Linked DNA regions of Arabidopsis thaliana. The protein of the gene in region 1 purifies or fractionates together with the protein of each later gene. This does not show direct contact. Each region holds a gene or a part of one and is shown on either strand. Other genes may lie near its edges.

Evidence for each region.
Region 2: the proteins of AT1G26460 (region 1) and AT5G02740 fractionate together in Arabidopsis thaliana (co-fractionation; one large-scale study listed by BioGRID). This does not show direct contact.

The regions. Positions count from the first base shown.
Region 1 is NC_003070.9:9,146,716-9,156,891, reverse strand, and holds AT1G26460 (Tetratricopeptide repeat (TPR)-like superfamily protein), read right to left. Parts: upstream 5,265-10,176; 5' UTR 5,077-5,264; coding exon 4,430-5,076; intron 4,222-4,429; coding exon 3,999-4,221; intron 3,911-3,998; coding exon 3,428-3,910; intron 3,199-3,427; coding exon 2,992-3,198; intron 2,903-2,991; coding exon 2,765-2,902; intron 2,680-2,764; coding exon 2,485-2,679; 3' UTR 2,130-2,484; downstream 1-2,129. Other genes in the region: GRF12 (general regulatory factor 12), read left to right, coding at 1-89, 169-233, 314-319; AT1G26470 (chromatin modification-like protein), read right to left, coding at 856-942, 1,068-1,137, 1,236-1,287, 1,480-1,552, 1,639-1,758; AT1G26450 (Carbohydrate-binding X8 domain superfamily protein), read left to right, coding at 6,829-6,880, 7,010-7,249, 7,340-7,367, 7,616-7,889.
Region 2 is NC_003076.8:612,102-622,277, forward strand, and holds AT5G02740 (Ribosomal protein S24e family protein), read left to right. Parts: upstream 1-4,322; 5' UTR 4,323-4,415; coding exon 4,416-4,593; intron 4,594-4,888; coding exon 4,889-5,030; intron 5,031-5,144; coding exon 5,145-5,229; intron 5,230-5,342; coding exon 5,343-5,390; intron 5,391-5,515; coding exon 5,516-5,616; coding exon of another isoform or gene 5,617-5,620; exon of another isoform or gene 5,621-6,033; coding exon 6,034-6,166; 3' UTR 6,167-6,747; downstream 6,748-10,176. Other genes in the region: AT5G02710 (zinc/iron-chelating domain protein), read left to right, coding at 527-793, 886-964, 1,052-1,139, 1,283-1,379; AT5G02720 (valine-tRNA ligase), read right to left, coding at 1,681-1,916, 2,020-2,215, 2,312-2,487, 2,869-2,938; AT5G02730 (CAP (Cysteine-rich secretory proteins, Antigen 5, and Pathogenesis-related 1 protein) superfamily protein), read left to right, coding at 3,509-4,126; SGR9 (RING/U-box superfamily protein), read left to right, coding at 8,000-8,851.

The DNA.
Region 1 (10,176 bases):
TGAGGAGTCGTACAAGGACAGCACTTTGATCATGCAGCTCCTGAGAGACAACCTCACCCTCTGGACTTCTGATCTTCCTGAAGATGGAGGTTTGTCTGAAAATCACACAGCACACATGATGTCTCAGAATGTTTGAGCTTATAAGCAGTGGTTTTGTTATGATTTCAGGAGAAGACAACATCAAGACTGAAGAATCCAAGCAAGAACAGGCCAAGCCTGCCGATGCCACTGAGGTAGTAATTCACTTTAAAATGAGGTGTATGAATAGTTCTTGTTGGGTCTAAAGGCTCACTCTTTTGTTTGTTCGTTTCAGAACTGATCAAAGGGCTTGGAAGTTGAATGAGATTTAGATTCGATGTCCAGAAGGGGGAGGCAAATTCCTTTAAATTCCATAGCTTGGTTTCATCAGGAAGATGAGATCAGAGACAATTGAATTCAATCCTATATTGTTTCTTTTTTGTATTACTTTTCGTCTTCTTTATTTTGTTCTCAATTTTCATGTCATCAAGTATTTTATGTTACGCAATTTTATTATGATTTGATCAGCATATGCTTTTGCTATCATACATTCCCATCAGATCAATCAAATGTGTATCAAAAATTGCCAAACAAACACAACCCTGGCTCTAAATGCAAACATGAAAAGAGCGAAAACCGCAAAAAGCTTGTTATGATTATTAACTCTCTGGACAGAGTAACAAAAAGATTATTCATTGATCCTGATGGTTTTATTGACATTAAAACTTCAGAATATATAGAAAAAAGCTTATCATAAGAGCTGAAGACAAAACCTAACCATATACAAAAAGATGGGAGAAGATGAATGAAAAGAAAACATCTTTTCTTCTTCCTCTGTCATTCTTCTTCCTTATCAAAGAAACTCTGCGGCAAGGTAAAGTCTTCCTCGTGATTCAGAATGTCTATGTCCTCATCATCTGATTTCTAAGAAACAAAACAGAGGTAACAGATTAATAAAACCATCACCACAACTCTAAACAATGCCATGAAGTGAAACTAAAGCTATGGGACCAAAATAACAATCAATGCTTGTTGTAATTACTACTCACCAGCATCTCAATGTTGTAAAAACGATCGAGTAGCTGCAGAACCTCATCCGCAGTGAACGGTCGGTCAAAGCTATGTACAGGAATAGTTTGATAGAAAGACTCAATCAATAAGGATCAGAGACTCATGTATGTATTGGAAGTATGAAAGAAACTCTGAGAACAACAAACCTTCTTCCGAGATACTCCATCAGACCATAAAGAACAAAGTGGCGATGTATCCCTGCACACCATCATGATCCCATTAGCAGAAGAAATCAAGAAACCAACAAACTGATCAATGTGCAAGAACAATAGACATTGAAATGATTGCATTTGATAATGGTTTCTGATAACTATCATGATACAAAAGTAAACATTGGCAGAAGCATATAGAACGTAGCTAAAGGATCAAGATTTGAGAAGTGAAACTTGCCTCGGAGTTTAACAGGAGGATAGATTTCAAGGGCTTCTAATAACCTTAGCTCTAATTCAACCTGTGACTGCTCCTGAGAAGCAAATCCAATAAAAGAGGAACCTTTAAAATCTCAGGAACAGAAATGGTAGAGAGATAGAGAGAAAGAGAGAGAGAGACCTTGGAGAGAGAGGAGGCGGAGGAAGGTAAAGCTTTACAGGGAGAGTGTACGGACAAACCATCTTGCTCTTCCTCTTTCTCTTTACCTCCTCCGCCACTTTCGTCCGTTCTTCCACCCATTTTTTAGGGTTTTGTGGCTTTGATCCCAAATGTGTTGAAAACTTCTCATAAGCTGTTTGTGATTTGTGTATATATACAGGAGTGCTTGTTTGATCTCTGAACTGGGCCGGCCCATATTTAAGGCCTTGTCTTTGTGCTTTCATCCCACACACAATGATTATTTTAAAATCTAATTCTTTTTCTGCACTCATTTTAAAATCTAATGTTATTGAATGTTATTTTTTGCACTCATTTTAAGGGGTTTTAGATAATTTTGTTTAGTTAAATATACAAAATTATAAATCTCATGGCTTTAACTTTTTTAAGTGAGATTTGGGAGATTTTACAACAAATAACATTTTTCCTAAAGTCATCCAAAAACATAAAATCATTTTAAAACTAAAATCAATTAATATAGGGTTGAATTTAACTCTTTAGATTCAAAGAAGATAAAAGTCAAAATATTCCAAAGGTTTTGACATTATTGGTCAATGCAAAAGCATCTTCCTAAGACTATCGATCCTAAGAAAGTAAGAACCCAACTCTATTGGTTTCCGAAAAAGAAAAAAAGAAGCCAAGTAATGTATTGGATAAAAATCAGATTAAGAGACTCGGAAGAATAAAATGAAGCAATATACATCAATGAAACACTGGGCATGATGATCCATAACTTCAAAACTAGATGAGCCGGGGCTTCATTCCTTACTTCTCACAAGGGTTCGTTATTACAACCATCCATTTTGGATTTCAATTGTTTAATGCTCGGCCCCTGGAGTAGTCTATGTTGAACAGCATGTTCCTGCGGTTCTCGCTTCCCATTCTGATCTGAAACTTCTTGGCCAATGCCTCCACTTGATCATCGTTTTCATCGTCCATTTCCCTGACACATCTCCTTCTCAGCTTTTTCAATGTCTCCCTAGAGGGTTCAAATCCAGCCTTGATCTGTATAATTAGAACATGCATTAGTTTCTCAGACACACATCATTCTCTCATAGAGGTTAGGTTTTGTCTGTTAATTCTGGTTTACCATGTCATCAACGACGGTCAGAGCTGATTTGGGATCCCGGTTAATGAGATGAGCATCAACCAGTAATGAATACGTCCGGGAATCAGGTTTAACACCTATGCTAACCAGATGCTCGAATACATTCGTGGCCTCGAAAGTCTGCAAAGCAAATAGACTAGAGTCGTAAGGCCAAATAGTTAATTCATGAAAAGAAAATATTAGAGAGTGATTTGACATAGAAACAGCACCTTCTTGACTTTTCCAAATGCATATAGTAAAGCGTTGTATGAATCGATATTAGGAGTCAGCCCAAAAGAGGCACTTATTGCCTCAAACGTCTGATAAGCACGATCCAGATCCCATGTGTTTGCGCAGCCAAGAATTATACAGTTTAGAGCAGCAACAGACTTATATGGAGTATCACCTTGACTCAAACTCTCCAACTGGAAGTATACCTGGTGGATTATGTGACAGTGCAAGGTCAGATAAGCTAAGCGTTATAGCTGCTTCACTCTAAAATGCATTAATATCCAGACCATGATACTCGACTTCGATAAACAGGTTTTCTGGTTTTGTTCTATTAAATTTCACAACTATCTTAGCCAAAGACCCTACCTTAATTCTTGTTACGAACAAAGCTGAGAATATATAGAATATTTACCCTTAGGAAGAGTCGAGGTATACCTCATCCAATGTCTCAAAACCTTTCTTAGAGCACGCCACAACCAGCGGGTATAATGATGTAAAAGGTGAAAGCATTTCCTCCACAACTTCTTTTTCAGAGTCTGCGTATGCGGATTCAAGTTCATGAAGTGAAGTGAAAGCTTTTTGCAGATTCCCCAACGATGCATAGGCATTAATCTTTGCAATGTAAGATGCAGGGTTGGCTGCCTTCCTCCCACGCAGACTCTGTTTCAGAATCGTCCATGATCCTTCCACTAAAGATGAACTACAAGTCCTAGCAGCACTTGCAAGGCCTGCTACTACCAACCCTTCATCAACAGAAAAAATAACCGACGGCCTAGCCATTTCGCCTCTAGTGATCCACTTGAACATAAATTCAAACGCATAAAAGGCCAACTTGCTATTATCCTCTTGAATTGCAACTTCTGCAATATAGTTACACAGTATCCAGCTAGGGCAAAGAGACTTGTTCCGATCAACAGCCTGCAAAACAAAAATACACATATAATTGATAAACGAGACTGCAAAAGCTTCAAATGTCAATAGAAGATAACAAAAAACTCATCTGTACCTTACACCTCTCGATGATGGAGACCAGTGTATCTGTCCTACCTTTGGCTACACAACTACGAACACATTCAGTAAAGACACTGGTGGATAACATATAACCAGATTTCAGTGCCGTGTCCATAACTTTCATGGCTTCGTCATTCTTCCCAACTCCAAAATGCATTCCAATAACCAAATCATATGATTCATCATCCGGAAGAGAGTCCTTCCCCAAGAGGAGCATCCTGACCAAATTACATCAAGTCATGATACATTTTGAAAAGATCTACATTTACATGACAACAGTATCAGTAGCTGCTATGCAGAGATAACCTTTGATTCATCAGCAAATCTTACCGTTCAATCATGTAAAGTCTTAATCTTTACACTATTTCTAGAAGCATTGTTCATTGTACAAAAAAGGAATCTATCTACGAACTCAGAGAATCTAACCGTTCAAGCAGCTTCATGGCGGCTTCAGTCTCTCTTGCCTGGTACATAGCCTTCAAAACTAGATTATAAGACGCTGTATTAGGTTCAACAGAAAACTCCTCCATTGGCGCAACAAGATCAAGCATATCTCCAGCAGAAGCACCCATCATCAAGTTAGCTCGAAGGTAATGATTGTAAAGGTTCACATCAGGCTTATTCGGCTTCCCATTCTTGTCAAGCGATCGAACCCAAACCTCAAAAAGCTGCTTCATGTCAGACCAACGCTGCGAAGCAGTCCAATCCGCAAACATATTCAGCAGCGAGTTCATGTCAAGCGTCTCAGAGAGAGCTCTGATACGAGGAGCAGGAGCTTGATTTAGAAATCCTAATGGAACTAGAGATTGGTTGAAGGAAGGAGTGTTTGGGATCGGACTACGCCAATTCTCTTGGTAAAGAGGACTTCCTGTTGCTGGATTCGGTGGAAGCGGCGTGGAGGTTGATTGATGGTTTGATGGGTCGTGATCTGTTGATTCGGTTGCGAGCAGAGGATCTTGAGAGAGGAATGGTGTACCGGAAATGGCTCTGATGGGTGAAGCTGAGGTAAAAGGATTGGGTTTTAGGGTTTTGAGGAGAGAGATTCGAGATCGGGTAAAGAGATGAGACGCCATTGTTGGAAAGATTTGGTTTTTGAGTTTTGGGGTTTATCTGTGTTTAGGGTTTTCTGAGTTCTTCTCTCTCAGATGAGTTTTTAGACACTACTAACTCCGGTCGTGACGATCTGTTCTCGATGACGGCAGTGGCATTTTAGAGATTATCCAAGAAATCTGATGTCTTTTTTTCAGAAGTTGTCTTTGACTCCTCGACATGTTTTAGTCTTTTAGTATAAAGCCCAGCCCATTAATAGATATAGCCCAAACCTTGATTTTTCAAAGAAACCACACATACATCATATGAGGGAGTCTTCCACAATTAAAATTTAATATTTAAACAGAAGATATATTATTTAATGTTTAGGTGTGTCTTTAAATTAAAAACATTGTGTCTAAATGTCTTGGTGAAGACCTTTTTTTGAAAAGATGTCTTTAATTTAAAGACCTCTCACATTTAATTATTAATATTTTGTAATTTAAATTTTTTAAATGTTGCTAAAGACACCTTCCTCATATGTGCAATGGACATGCTATGGTTTTTCTTCTTACAAGTGTGTTTTTGTTGGTTTTAGTTTTAAACGCTTGGTTTTTATATAAGTTAAGGATGTATATAACGTCAAATCACTTTTTAATGGTTGGTGTTGGGATATTTTTCGCTTATTCGGTATTAGCGATTCAGTTTGCAACAAATTTAAGCGAGATCTTTCGCTCATGGTTATTGTTGGTGATGAGTTTCATACTTGACATCAGCATGATAGGAAAACATCCATTTAAATTAAATAGAATGATAAGAAGGAATTTTTATCTAAGATTACGGCATATTATTCATGGAGTTCGGTCCAACAAAGTCCCTTAATCGGCCATGGAGCTTGTATAAGAGGTTGAGTCCATCTCCAGAGTCAAAGAGAAGCAATAAAAATAAATTACTGAGAAGGAAAAAGTGATTACTTACGTTAGAGCTAGGTAAGGTTTATAGCTATTTCTGGTCGCCCTGTCAACACCATTTCGGATTATTTGTGTGACTTTGTGACTTGTACGTTGTAACACAATCACACGTTTTGTAATGCGGATGCAAAGTTTGTCCTGCACATGGCTCCCTCGCTTAGCCGCTTTGCCTTTAAAAAGTACTTAATACTTAAGTTTTTGCCTTTAAAGAGTGTATACTATTTCCAATTGTTTTGTGTTCTTTTCCCTGTTTTTCTCCATTATTTTCCATCGGTTAGTGCTTCAAAATCAAATTACTTTACTTTAAAAACATCTTTATCTTATTTTATCTTATAATATGTTAAATAACATTTTACATTTGCAAACGTGTGCATGCATCTTTTGTTGTCTTTGTGGAAAGCTAGACTCTTATCTAAATCCTAAAAAAGAATGCATCAGATGTACGTAAACTTAGGTGACAAATTAGTAAGAATAACAATTAACAAAGCTAGTTTTTCACATAAAGCCTACAATATTACGTGCGTCGACCGACCACAGTCACACATTGACTAGACGACAGGAATGCTTTTCACCTTCTCTGTTTCAGAGACCCACATTGCTTTGAGTACTCAAAATCTAACATTTACAAGTCATCACACAATAATATCTGAACTTTTCTTTACTTAAGCCTTAGGGTATTCTGCTTATTAGTACCCAAGAAATATCATAAAGAGTATAAATTGTCGATCATCATATCAGAATAATCTCCTCTCTCTCTAACAAACTCGCAAACTCACATTTGTGGTACTCTCAGTGTTAGACAAGTCCGATCAAGTTTAAGCAGTCATGGCGGTTTTGCTTCCTCTGTTTCTTCTCTCTTTCATGTTTACCTATTCAAGTAAGTTCTTTCTATCTTCTTTGAACATTTCTTTGTCCCTTGGCATTAAGACTCAAAATGGTTCCGACATTTTCGCTTCTTGGTTACGTTTTCCTTGTAATGCTAATCCGAGATATCTGTTTTGTACAGACGCGGCGGTTTGTGTGTGCAAGGACGCTAACGAGCTGGATCTTCAGAAGGTGATAGACTTCGCATGTGGAGGAGGTGCTGACTGTGCACAGATTCAGACGACCGGAGCTTGTTATCAACCAAACACCCTCAAGAACCACTGTGACGTTGCCGTTAACAGCTACTATCAAAAGAAAGCTTCCACCGGTGCCACATGTGACTTCAACGGCGCCGCCGTCATCTCCACTTCCCCTCCTTCGAGTATTCCTTCCATTAAAACCACAACTTCTTTTCATCAAATGTGTATCTTTTTTTTTTTTTGCTGATTCTTTATTTACTCTGTTCTTGCAGCTACGTCAAGCTGTTTATCTAGTTCTAGGTATGTTTCACATCACCTTGCCTTAGAGTTTAGATTAGGGTTATTTCCCTCTGTTTTCGTTTGCTTAGTGTTTTCTTTAGATCAGTAATGAGCTCTCTGATGATTCTAGTCGTTGAAATAGTTCAGTCATTTGTCTACTAATGTGTGACAGAATCTTTATTACTGATTTATTACCAAAATATTAATTATATCTTCTTAAAAATTGTGATGATGATTTAAGTGTGTTTATAAGAGTAACCTTTTTGTAGTTCCAACGGAACCCCCACTGCCGGATATCCATCCACCGGAAATTCAACCACAGCAAGTCCAGGCACCACAAATCCATCCACAGGCAATTCAACAAACAGCACACTACCCACTAATGATAAGCCGACTTCATCTACGATAACGTTTCCTGACAGTACTACTATGGGACCATCTAGCAGCACGAGTGGTGATCCCAACGGTGGAGAAGAGCTATCCGTCAGAACCACGACGATCATCTTACTGACTACCATCGCTGCCGTGGCATTGAGGGTTTAGGTAAGATCATCTCAAGATGATGACGAGGACGCTTATTTGTTGTGGACGGCTGAGATAATGCCAAGTTAATTAGAGCCTATCTTTCTTCCCACCGAATTTTAATCTTTAATTTCCAATTAGGATTGTGACTCTCGCTCGTCTTCTTAAGTATTTTGGTTTATAGAAAATCTTAATCAAGAGCTTTTTTCTTGCTTTCTTTTGTAAATCCAGAAAAAATGAGATGCTCTTTGGGTTGTATTATTTTTACTTATAATTATGCCTTCGCCAATAAAGATAACATGTTTCTCTTTGATAGTTTCTTGGTTGTTTGCTAAGAAGAAAATGTTGCTACAAGGATTTCAGGTTTTTTTTTTATTTTATATTTAATAACAGATGTTTGGTGTTAGTGCACCACTTATCAATTCTCAATACTATAATGTTTAATATGGTTTGTGGTAACAATTAACACGATCTTTATCAAGGTGTTCCAGAAAGCGCAAATTGTGATGTTTTTACTCTCTTTTTTTGGGTAGTTCAATGGACTTTTAGTTAAAATTGTTTTAAGGCCTTCATTCCAATGCCCACCATCATGATGATTTTGTTCTTTTTTTCACCTGCTTTCCAATGTATTTATTACTGTAATGTAAAGAGACTTGTTCATTTTCTTTTAGTGAACATTGAGAGTAACATCTGCGGAATAGCAGCATATGGATCATACAGTTTTAACATCTTAGAAGCGTGTGACAAATTCTTTATTCTAAACCAAATAACAAAATTTTAACATATTAGAGAAAATGGTAATTGTAATATCTCATTTTTAAAAAGAACAGCAATAATCTTTATCCTTCAAGGTAGGTTTGGACGTTTGGATATTTGGGTTGGCTTTTTTGGTTTTAGATTTAGAAATATAGGACCCATTTATTTATTTCAAAACTTCAGATTCGGTTCAGATTTAGGTTTAACGAAGTATTTAAATATAAAAAAATATCAAAAAGTATTTATATTCGATTCTATGCGAACTACTAGAAAATATTCAAAAATCTACAAAACCCAAGTATTTTTATCCGAATATAGCCAAAAGTATTTAAAATACCCAAAAACATCTTAACCTCCAAATATTGTAGGCACTTAGGTTATTATAAGTATAAATAGTACTAGTAATATTCATGATGAAAGCTAAGTGAGTTCATAAAATTCAATGTTGAATACAATAAATAGGGACAAAATCATTGTTTTCTTTGGTTTAAATAGTATTTTTGAATCTGATTTATATGAATCAATTGAATCTAACTTGTATGAAATTATTGAATGGGAGATACTAGCATCTTGGTCGCTAAATGAGATAATATTTTGTGATACTTTGTGTAACATCCTTCTTATAATATGAAGAAATGAGGTCAATAAGATTTACACATCAAGAAAAAGAAAGCTACTTGTTGTAGTGATTAATAAAAACTTCGATTATGTCCTTTTTTCTTAATTGATAAGCTTGTTGTGAGTGATTTGTACTTGTTCTGAAATTTGAATAGATATGCAGACTTTACAAGCTAGTGAAGTCTAGTGGAATAAAATTTCTGAAGTTGTACATTTTTCAAAACAAAATTTACAAGAAAAAAAAGATTAACAAATCTTTAACTGTAAGTGTATTTCTTTGTAAGTTCTTTGTTAGCTTAACTAATTGTTATGTTAACATCATTTTCTGACAATGAAGGATAAACAACCTTACATTGCTAAGGCTGATGAGATGAGGGTTGCTTATGACCAGAAGCTGATAACCTATATAAAAAAACTGGAACGTCCACATCACACAACAAATCTGGAACATCACAGTTTTATGTTCGGTACGATAGACAAGTTTATTATTTTATAAGTAAAATCAAATTTAACTAAAAATAATAATTAGCAACATTGTAAGTAAAAATTATCTTTCAAAGGTAAAAAAAATATTTTCACTCTTGTATTGTTTCTTTCACCACTAAAATTATTGATTAAAATATTATTTGAATGGAAAATATATAATATAGCAATAACTTAAATTATTTGAATGAAAAATATATCACATAGCAATAACTCTTGGTATACTTATATTGAGAACTAAAATTAAAAGTATTTATCATAAAGTTGGCGAATGAAACCAAAATGTTTTAAATCAGACACATTAAAAATATAGATTTTTAAATTAGACACATTAAAAATATAGAGTTAAGTTTTCAAAAACATATATTGATTTTTCCTGCCTAAAATATTCGGGAAATAAAATTTCCGCCAAAACAAATAAATTAACGAGAAATAGATTTGCAGTGGTTTT
Region 2 (10,176 bases), on another chromosome or scaffold:
AGTATAAACCCCTTCTAAACACTGACCTTGTAGCACAATTCGAATCGGAGACAGAAAAACAAAAACAATCCGCCATTATTATTGGGTTATTATTGACACACTGATAAGACCCAAAAGATGCGAGTAGTGAGTTTGTAAGAAACTGTCCCAAGCTGTGACAACCCATAGTTATTGTCTTCTTGTCTCTTTGTGTATTGTTGCTCAATTTGTTTCACGAGAATAGAAAATCATAGTAAGATGAGGTTTGGTTGTACACAAACAAACAAAGAAAGGAAACGCGTGTAAGTTTTTGAAACTTTTGTTTCTTGAAGAATCAATATATGAGAGCCAATGCTATGTACCAACAATAAAAAGTGGATCTTGTTGTTGTATAAAGAATGGTTTGCGACTGAACCGGATAAAAAAAATGGTTTGCGACTGAACCGGATGCAAATTCACAATTTGCGGTTGAACCGGCTTTCGCCATTTGGGTTCTAATCTTATCTTGACAACATTTCTTGCTTCTCTAATTTGCGCCAAAAGAAAAATGGATATGTCGCTTGCGTTATCGACGGCACCAATGAGTAGGACGATTATCTCTGCCACGAGGCGGTCCCAAGTTTCACAACCTAAAGCTAAGAAAGTCAAGCCGGCGAATAAGCGGCCAACGATGTCGACAAGCGGTTTCTCCGGCGGAACGACAAAGGAGTTGACTTGGAAGTGCGTAGAAGGTTGTGGAGCTTGCTGTAAGATTGCAAAGGACTTTTCCTTTGCAACACCTGACGAAATCTTCGACAACCCTGATGATGTTGAGGTTTGTTTGTTTCTCACCCACCACTTGTTCGACTTAATTACTCTGTTAGGTGTTAAAACGTTAATATATATATAATCTTATGCTTAATCCAGCTGTATCGAAGCATGATCGGAGATGATGGATGGTGTCTAAACTACGACAAAGCTACACGCAAATGCTCTATTTATGCTGGTAACAATCAATCATTATTAGCTATCAGATTGTTCTCTCTGTTTATGGACTGAAACTTTGAACGTTTTCTTCCTTTCCTGAGTTCAGATCGTCCATATTTTTGTCGGGTTGAGCCAGAGGTTTTCAAGTCACTCTACGGGATTGAAGAAAAGAAATTCAACAAGGAAGCTGTCAGGTAACTCTCCTTGGTTGTATAACTCTATTTCACAAGCTCTTACACACTGAGAGTGTTTAAATCAAATGTGTATCTGAATCTTAATTAGGGGATATAACAAATGTGGAAGAGATAAATGTGAAAAATATCTTTTTACGTTGCAGCTGCTGCATTGACACAATTAAGACGATATACGGCCCTGATTCCAAAGAATTGGATAGCTTCAACCGTGCCATCAGAAGTAATCCGAGCTCGAGTTGATTAGTCAGATAAACTCAAAGGAAGGTACTGATTCAGTTCTTTTCTTCGTAATACATACCTTAGAGTTCCCCTCAATGCATTTGTGGATTAGAATGTGTACAATAAATAGCCTTATAGTATTGGAAAATTTTGGGATTATTTTTGACTGAGATTACTAAAGTATGTGGAAGAGAAGCAAATACCAAAAGACAAAAAGTGAGATCCTACTGTCAATCCTCTTCCCTAATATAAGCTGCAAAATTCATGAAACACCAAAAGTCTTTATGCAAAACAAATCGTGGACGAACCTTCTTAAAACATGTCATATCACAGGGTCAAGTCCAAGTTCATCTTCAGGTTCATCACTTTCCTCAAATAGCTGCATAAACCGAGCTTGATCTCGCTGCTTCTTCATCCTTTGCGTGTGCTTAAACATAAAAACGCCTCCAACCACAACAAGCGTTGTACACAAAACGCCTGCTATGATCGCTATCATGAATGTTAACCCGTTATATCCTTCCTCTTGCGGACTTGAAGCAGCTACTGCTTTAGAAGATACTACACACATTTTGTTGCATACAATTCATATATGTTACTCATCATCATATCTTTTCGTTTCTTTTGACAGGAAACAGAAATAAGGAAATTAGTTATTACTCACCGGAGTGGAACTTGGCGCAACCGTGGCAGACAAAAGTAGCATTAATCTCCTTTTCTTTAAAATGCATATAAACTTGGCTAGCAGAGAAATCAGTGGGACAAACTTCCCATACATCGAACTCTTTGTCTGAAACGAGGCTGCCTTGCTCATAGATTCCGCATCGTTTACACTTTTCGCCACCAATTCCAGTCATAGGCTGTAACAGGCAATAGAGTGAAGAACATATATGTATTTATCCATGTTATTAATAGATTGTAGTAATGAACGGATGTAAAAGAGATTTGGGACTAGCCTGCCATGATTCTTGACCGCGGAAAGTGTACAAGACACCTGTTTTGGTAACGTCTGGAAGAACAGTTTTGTTCTCTCCATTGCATTGAAAGTAGACCGTATGTTTGAGCTTGAACCAGTCGTGCTTTGTGAATATCTCAATAGAGTTGAGTGTGATAAATTGCCCTCTTACCAGTCCTGAAATTTTGAATATGAACACATATATTAATCTTTTTCGTAAATATACAAATAAGTCGATATGTCCGAGTGGTTAAGGAGATTGACTCGAAATCAATTGGGCTTTGCCCGCGCAGGTTCGAATCCTGCTGTCGACGATTTTTAATTTTAATTTTACAGAAAATTCCCCATTAATCTTAAATTCTTTGAATCTCTTTTTTCTTGGGACGTTTTCTTTTTTCATCATGCAAAATAACCACAAATCGATCTATGGAAACAATAAAAAGCATCATGAAAAGATCGATCATTTTCGATCGAGTGAATGGATAAAAAGTTTGTTGGTTAACGAAACAAACATCATGTTTTGTTTCCCGGGAAAATTAGTCGTGTGGAATTTATTACCTGGAATCCACATGTGGATGATGTAACAGAAAAGAAGATTTCTCCAGATCATCGGTTTTCGAATCGGCATTTTTATCTAATTTTCAGGGTTTTTTTCCGTTTAGTTCTCTCTGTTATGTTTTCAACGAATATTGAAACAAAAGGAAAGAACAGGAAAGCAAGCTTTCGAGAAAAAAGAGGGACAGAGATCCACGTGCGTCTCACGCTTTCCCTCTAAACACTCTCCCTCTTCAATACCACATTCTATAATACATTATATTTGTAACGTTCGTATAAAATATTCACAAACAAAAATAATGATCATATTTTACATTGAAAAATCCCAAATTTTACCGAATTTGTTAAGCTAATTCTTAAATATTTAAAATTAAAACGAACAAAGTAAGCTTACTTTTGTTATGGTATGGACTTTTTTTTTTTTTTTGACATTCATTATGTCAACAAACTACGAAATCTTTTTACCAAAAAAAAAAAACAACGAAAAACAGATAACAAAAAGATGAGACACACAATCTGTCAAAGCTTGTCAGAAAATGGCAAAACACTAACCGAATAATGAATGTTTTCAAAAGTGAAACAACAAAACCTGAGAAACAGAGAAGATTGAAAATGAGAGACACGAAGACGACGACTAAGAGATATGTCGTCGTCTTCGTTATATCATCCGTTTTGTCTCTCCATCTCCTCCGTTCTCCTCCTCCTCCTATTAATCTTCTCCGGAGAATTTCCCTCCACCGCAGGAACTTCATCACCGGACACCAAAGCCGCAGCCGCACGTGCGACTAACAGAGGAAGGAGGAATAAGCAATCCGCGGAGTTCTTACTCGCGCACAACGCAGCGCGTGTAGCTTCAGGCGCGTCGAATCTAAGATGGGATCAAGGGTTGGCCCGTTTCGCATCTAAATGGGCCAAACAACGTAAATCGGATTGTAAAATGACCCATTCAGGTGGGCCTTACGGAGAGAATATTTTCAGGTACCAAAGGAGTGAGAATTGGTCGCCGAGGAGAGTTGTTGATAAATGGATGGATGAAAGTTTGAACTACGATCGGGTGGCTAATACGTGCAAGTCTGGTGCCATGTGCGGTCATTATACGCAGATCGTTTGGCGTACAACCACAGCCGTTGGATGCGCTCGTTCTAAATGCGATAACAACCGTGGATTCCTAGTGATTTGCGAGTATTCACCTTCGGGGAATTACGAAGGCGAAAGTCCTTTTGATATACCTAAAATAACATTGAAATTAGACAAGATTTAATCAAATATTGTTACTTCAATTCTTGAAACATTTTTTTCTTCCTTTAATGGTCAAGTTTTTTCCGTTACTCCTTCTAATGACTAATGTAATATGGACCGTATTGATGTTCGACGTTATGGGCTTTGGCCTTTTTTAATTATTATGTGGGCTTTTGAATTATTTTAGAATGTGAAACGCTGTCGTTTATGTAGCGAATGTGGGTGTAATTTCGAATCTTCTTCACCGTGTTCGTCATCGTCACCACTGAGACTCTCTGTAGAGAAAAACCCTAGACATTTTCCGGTGAGAAATGAGTATCACTCGTAGCGCGATCAGATCGAGTTTGTGTCTCCGGAAATTGGATCCGGAAATCAGTCGTAGCTCGCTTCCGTTTCTTCAAGAGTGGAGGAAATGCCTATCTACCGCCACGGAGCAGCCTCCTCCTGCCTCTCCGTTACCACCGCCTCCGGGAGGTTCTCCGGGAGAAGGTTTTCTCTTTTATTTCATTCCATTTATCTAGTGTTTCTTTGAGAGCATTTCTCCAATTTGTGAGGGCAAAGATCCTAGATCATAGATTGCAGAGTTTTGATTTGTTTGGAGTGTGTATATCTGAAGCTATTGAAATTGAAAATGTTGGTTTCAAATTTAACCGCAGAGGCTATTATCGAATTTTGCTATCCAAAAATGCGGACTTTGTTTACTTTGACTGTTATGGTTTTGAGACTTTGTTTAGCTCACTATGAAGGATGTTCCTTGATGTGTTTTTCTTATTTCTTTTTGCAGGGAGGTTTTATGGGAAGTTTTCAGGCTTTTCAAAACATGCTCTGAAGACAGACATAATGAACGTACTCGAGGGCTGCAGTCTGACATCAGATGATCTCAAATTCAACTATCCGCGTGGCGGAAACTTAACTCCTGCGGCAGTGTAAGTCTTAAGCTTTATTAATTCTCTGGATTGTTACTTTGGAAGAGAGGAATTCGAATCCAAACTAATGAATTTCTATCCTTTTTCATTCTCGACAATGTTGGTATATATCAGCTTTGTGCAGTTCCCATCCCTTTCCGCATATGATAAAGCACTGCGGAATATCGCAAAGAAAGGAAAGCTATATAGATTAGAAAAGGTAATCCTTTTACATTCTATAGAGTCCATATTTATTTCCGTTTTACAAACAAAGAAAGTATTCGTATGCTAGATGGCTATTTAATCTGGAGTTGATTCCTTGTCGATGATTAGGCTGCTCGTGCTCAGTGGGATCCCATTGTTCCTTATGAGGGGAAAGTGGTAAGCTATGTATTCTGTCATAACTTATAGTATTATCGAGGTTTGTTCTCACTTCTCAGACAACTGGTCTGACATAAATTGTAATTGGTACCAACTAATATTTGATGAAATTTTATATTGTTTAGGTTGCACTACATGGGATTCCGGTGAATGCTATAACAGATGACATAGATAGGTTCTTATCTGGCTGTCTCTATTATCCTGGATCCATCCAGTTCCTCACAGTGTGAGTAATTATTGGGTTTACTAATTCTTATTTTATTAGTACCCTGTTTTGTACTTTACTCGATCCGCATTTGATTAGCCGTTAGTTGGACCTGCAGTCTTGCAAAGGCAGTGCTCTCCTGTTTGATTCATCAGTTGCACTGATGTTTAATCATATTACTCACTAGAATAAGCAAATAGTACAGATGTAATATAAATAGCTTTCGCCGGGAACTATAGGAGGAGTGATAGCACTCACTCCTGACTGTCATATTTTTTTTATTTTCTCGAGTACGACATGTGATATCTTGTCACCTTGTTAGACATCATATCTAGAAATCTTTGTGTTCTATGCCTATAGTCGTGTTGTGCAGCAGTTTCTGGATTACTGATAATATGAGGACATGAAACTATTTTAATGCCTTCTTTTACCATGCAGTCAAGGACTTGGAACTTCAAAGAGGGTAGCATTGGTGCGTTTCACATCACAAACCCAGGCAATGAACGCATACATTACAAAGAACAGGAACTTCCTTCTCAACCAACGAATCACATTGCAAGTTCTGCAGTAATTTCTTAGTTTCTATTCCATTCTCGTGGTGTATTCCAATGGTAAGAGATCCAAAGCACTTTCTTTTGTCTCTACTGTTGGGATGTTTTAGGTCGATTTGGTTATCAAAAATTTCCATCTGCAAACTTCACGATGCTTGATAAACTGTTGTTGTCTCTCTCTTCCCTGGTTCAGTTCGAAGTTGATGAATAACAAATACATGTGTCTTAGTAGAAGCAGAAAGTCTCACATAAGCAGATGTTATACTATGTGATCTTTTTCTCTTTCTTGTATTTTGACTAAAGCTGTTATCATTGGATGCCCATGTGGTGAAGTGATCCATCGTGCTTTTAGAAAGTGAATGAATTTGTACTATAAGGGTTTGGTGGGGGCTCACTCTTCACTAGTGCAATAGAAATCGAGCACAGTAGAATAATATAATGAGTTTTTTTAATTGTTCTCTTGCTTTTCTCTAGTGGGTCATCTTTACTTGTAATTGAAGCAACTTGCTATCATATCTTCTCAGTTCTCACGGTAACCGATCTTTCTTCATGAGTCCCTTTGATTGTGTAGAAGATTTGATGTATTATTAAATTTGTAGATCGTATGACTAGTGAAACTGTGTCAGTGTACCTTCCTTTTGATATACTTCTAAGTGATAGTCAATAAACTCAATGGCCAAACCCCTCTAGTAGGATCTTCATTGAGCTATGGATCAATCAATTTGGTGAGCTTAGTTTTGCTATAGTGGTAAGTTTTCTTTGGAGGAAGGGGTAGTATTGTCAGAATAGTCATTGAAGACTTTTCATTGTTGGTGTCCACCGAAATCTTGTTTAGGGATTTGTGAAACATGAGAGTTTGTGAAAGTATGGACAACACACGGGGACAAATGCATAGAGACTAGAGTTATAGAATGGTGTGTGGTCATGTGAATTATTAATCTTTCAATACTGTTTCTTTAAGACAACAGTTGAAAGTGTAGAAGAAGCTATGGATTTAGCCGAACCTTTTGTTTTTGATATCTTTATATAGTTTTGACTTTTGATCATCTTCCTCTTGTTTTGTTGCTTTTGTTTAGCCATGTACACTAGTAAGAGAAACATCTATTTGTCCTGAACAGCAACATGAGTTTGGTAAATAATCTTATCTGATCATTAGGTGTGAATGATAGGTTTTTGGGTTTGTGATTTGTGTTGTGAAAGTTGACAAATACATTTATATAAACAAGCCGATCCAAATTCTTACTCTACTCCACAGACTCTTGTCTGGTCCCACTAACTAGCTTCACATTATCAAATTCTTCGATGAATTTTGGTAAATGTAACTAAAATATCAAATTCTTCGATGAAGTTTGGTAAATGTAACTAAAATATAGTTTGGTTTAGAACTTTAGATTGTGGAGCTAGTAACATTAATAAAATATATAGTTTGTTAAATTTCAACACAATTTTCCAACTAAATCCTTCGAAATTTCATATTTCCAAGATTTATAGTTAAAGTGTAATGAAACACTTTTTAATTGCATAAAGTTTGCAAGCAAATTATGCCTGTCACCAACAGTTGCTAAAGTGTAAAACTTTTGCCAACTCTTCTCCATTCATTGCTTCTTCACCTTTATTCTCCAATCCCAAATTTACATCTATCAATTACATCAAAACCCAAACAAGCAAAGCCGACAATAATCTCTTTTGTACCACAACCATTTGTTTTTTCCCTAATAGAAAAATCACCAATATTTTATTATTACTTCCACCAAATTCCTAATGACTTAATACAATGTATATATAAAGCAAAGATTCGTCAAAAAGTGAAAGTGTTAACAGAAGTGAGAAACGAAGCACACAAGATCTTTAATATGGAAGACGAAAACACCACAATCATCATGGCGTCACTCTCTGCTCTTTCTCCTTCACACCTCACGAATCTGACTCACTCCATTCTCTCTATCTCCCACCACCATCGCCGCCGCCTCGGTGCAGTCCTCTCCTCTCCGACCCTTTTCTCCCTCACTCTCCGCCACCTCCTCTCTCTATCTCTTCCTGACAAAACTCACCTCATCGCCAACCATCTTCTCTCCCTCCTCCATCCTCTTCTCATCCACCGTAAACACCACTCCTCCTACGCCGTCACCATGAAGCTCCGGGACCTAGACGCGGTGGTCCTCCTCCTCTTTCTCTGCGAAACCCACCAGCTTCATCCAGATGTTCTAGAAGCTTCCGCTGATAATTGGCGGGAAATTCTCGGTAATACGTACTCTAATAATATGTTAAGTAATAATTCCGGTCTTTGGACTTGCGATGCCGGAATCTTGATGCCGTACATAGAAACCCTAGTTAGATGCAAAAGATTTGTTGACATAATGGGAGGCTATAACCATCTTCGTCGAAGAGATCAAAAAGAAGGCTACCAAGTTCCAGCCGCTAGAGCGGCTGTGGTGGCGTTACGGGCGGTTGAGGTTTTCAACGTCGCCGCTTCAAACGCCGGAGAAGTAGAATGCGTGATATGCAAGGAAGAGATGAGCGAAGGAAGAGATGTGTGTGAAATGCCATGTCAGCATTTCTTTCACTGGAAGTGTATCTTGCCGTGGCTAAGCAAGAAGAACACGTGTCCGTTCTGCAGGTTTCAGCTTCCCACCGACGATGTCTTCTCAGAGATCCAACGGTTATGGGAGATCCTCGTCAAGAGTAGCGAGTTACACGTGGCGTAATCTCAGTTTGCGGTGATGGGTACATGTGTAAGAGGAACTAAAGAAGCCTGTACATCGTAATCTAATATACTATGTAGAATAATATATCAAGTAATTGTCATAGATAGGAATGTTTGGACCGTTTTGATATATCGAAATAGTTTATATTTTGAGAAAGACACATTTGTGTTAATAGTACGATGAATTTCGTAAATATGTTGTAATAGAAACCAAATTAATAGTGACCAAAAAAAATAAAATTAATTGTTTCATGTATATGAGCATTGGTTTCAATCATGTATTTGTTCCCATATTCTATAGTCAATCGGTGGGAAAATGAAATCAAAAGATGACATGTCGACAACAAACAAAAGATCGCGTTACAATTTTTTTCCCCATATCACCATCCATTGATGATTTCACGTTGCTCTTCAGTCTCGGGACTAATGGGCTTAAATACATTTTTGAGCTTTCTATATTCGGGCCTTACGTAGCCCAATACAAGTTAGATAATTTAATGGAAGCTTGCTTTACATTCTCAAAGCTGGGCCGATTCTACCAGGACAAATAACGGTTCATATAACTAACTATGATATAAATATCATAACGAAAATAATATCTAAATAAAGTTTATTTTGATCAAATCAATCAATTAAATAGTGTTGATCAAAAAGTCATGTGCATCTATTCTATCGTGAAAACTGGAAAGTCACGAAGAAAAACAAAAGAAGATAAATATTCTAATATTAATAATATTATATAAGATTCGAAGAGTATTTTTCTCAACAAATAATTGAACAAATCATCAACATATCTATCAAACTACCATCGAAGGTTTTGAGATAAATAGAAATGTCTTGAATCTTGATGAGAACCAACTAATAGTTGCACACTTGCACGTAAAAATTGCGCTCGTCAAAATGAAAATACGCGATTAAAACAAGTGATTCCTGGTGAACGCAGATCAAACTGTCGAAGTATAGCTACTTCGATAATTTGTATGTTTTGACAGTGGATTCGATGATATATTCTCTTGTTTTGAAAACAAAGTTCCAATATTGTTATTAACGTAATAACGGTTGGTCTAATTCGCAAATCCACAAATTTTATGTAGCTTACTGTTAATAATTAATATAATATACATATGTAATATGTGCGTAGTTTTTGGGGTATGAGCTATAAATAAAATTCTAATGTATTAACTACATGTACATAGAAAATATTTTTTTAAATTGCAGAAAATAATGATGATGGATACTAAGTTGCAAGCTAAGATGAGAGATCTAATGAAAGGTACAAAATCAAAGTGATAATAGTACGTCCAGATACAATTGCAACTAGCTAGA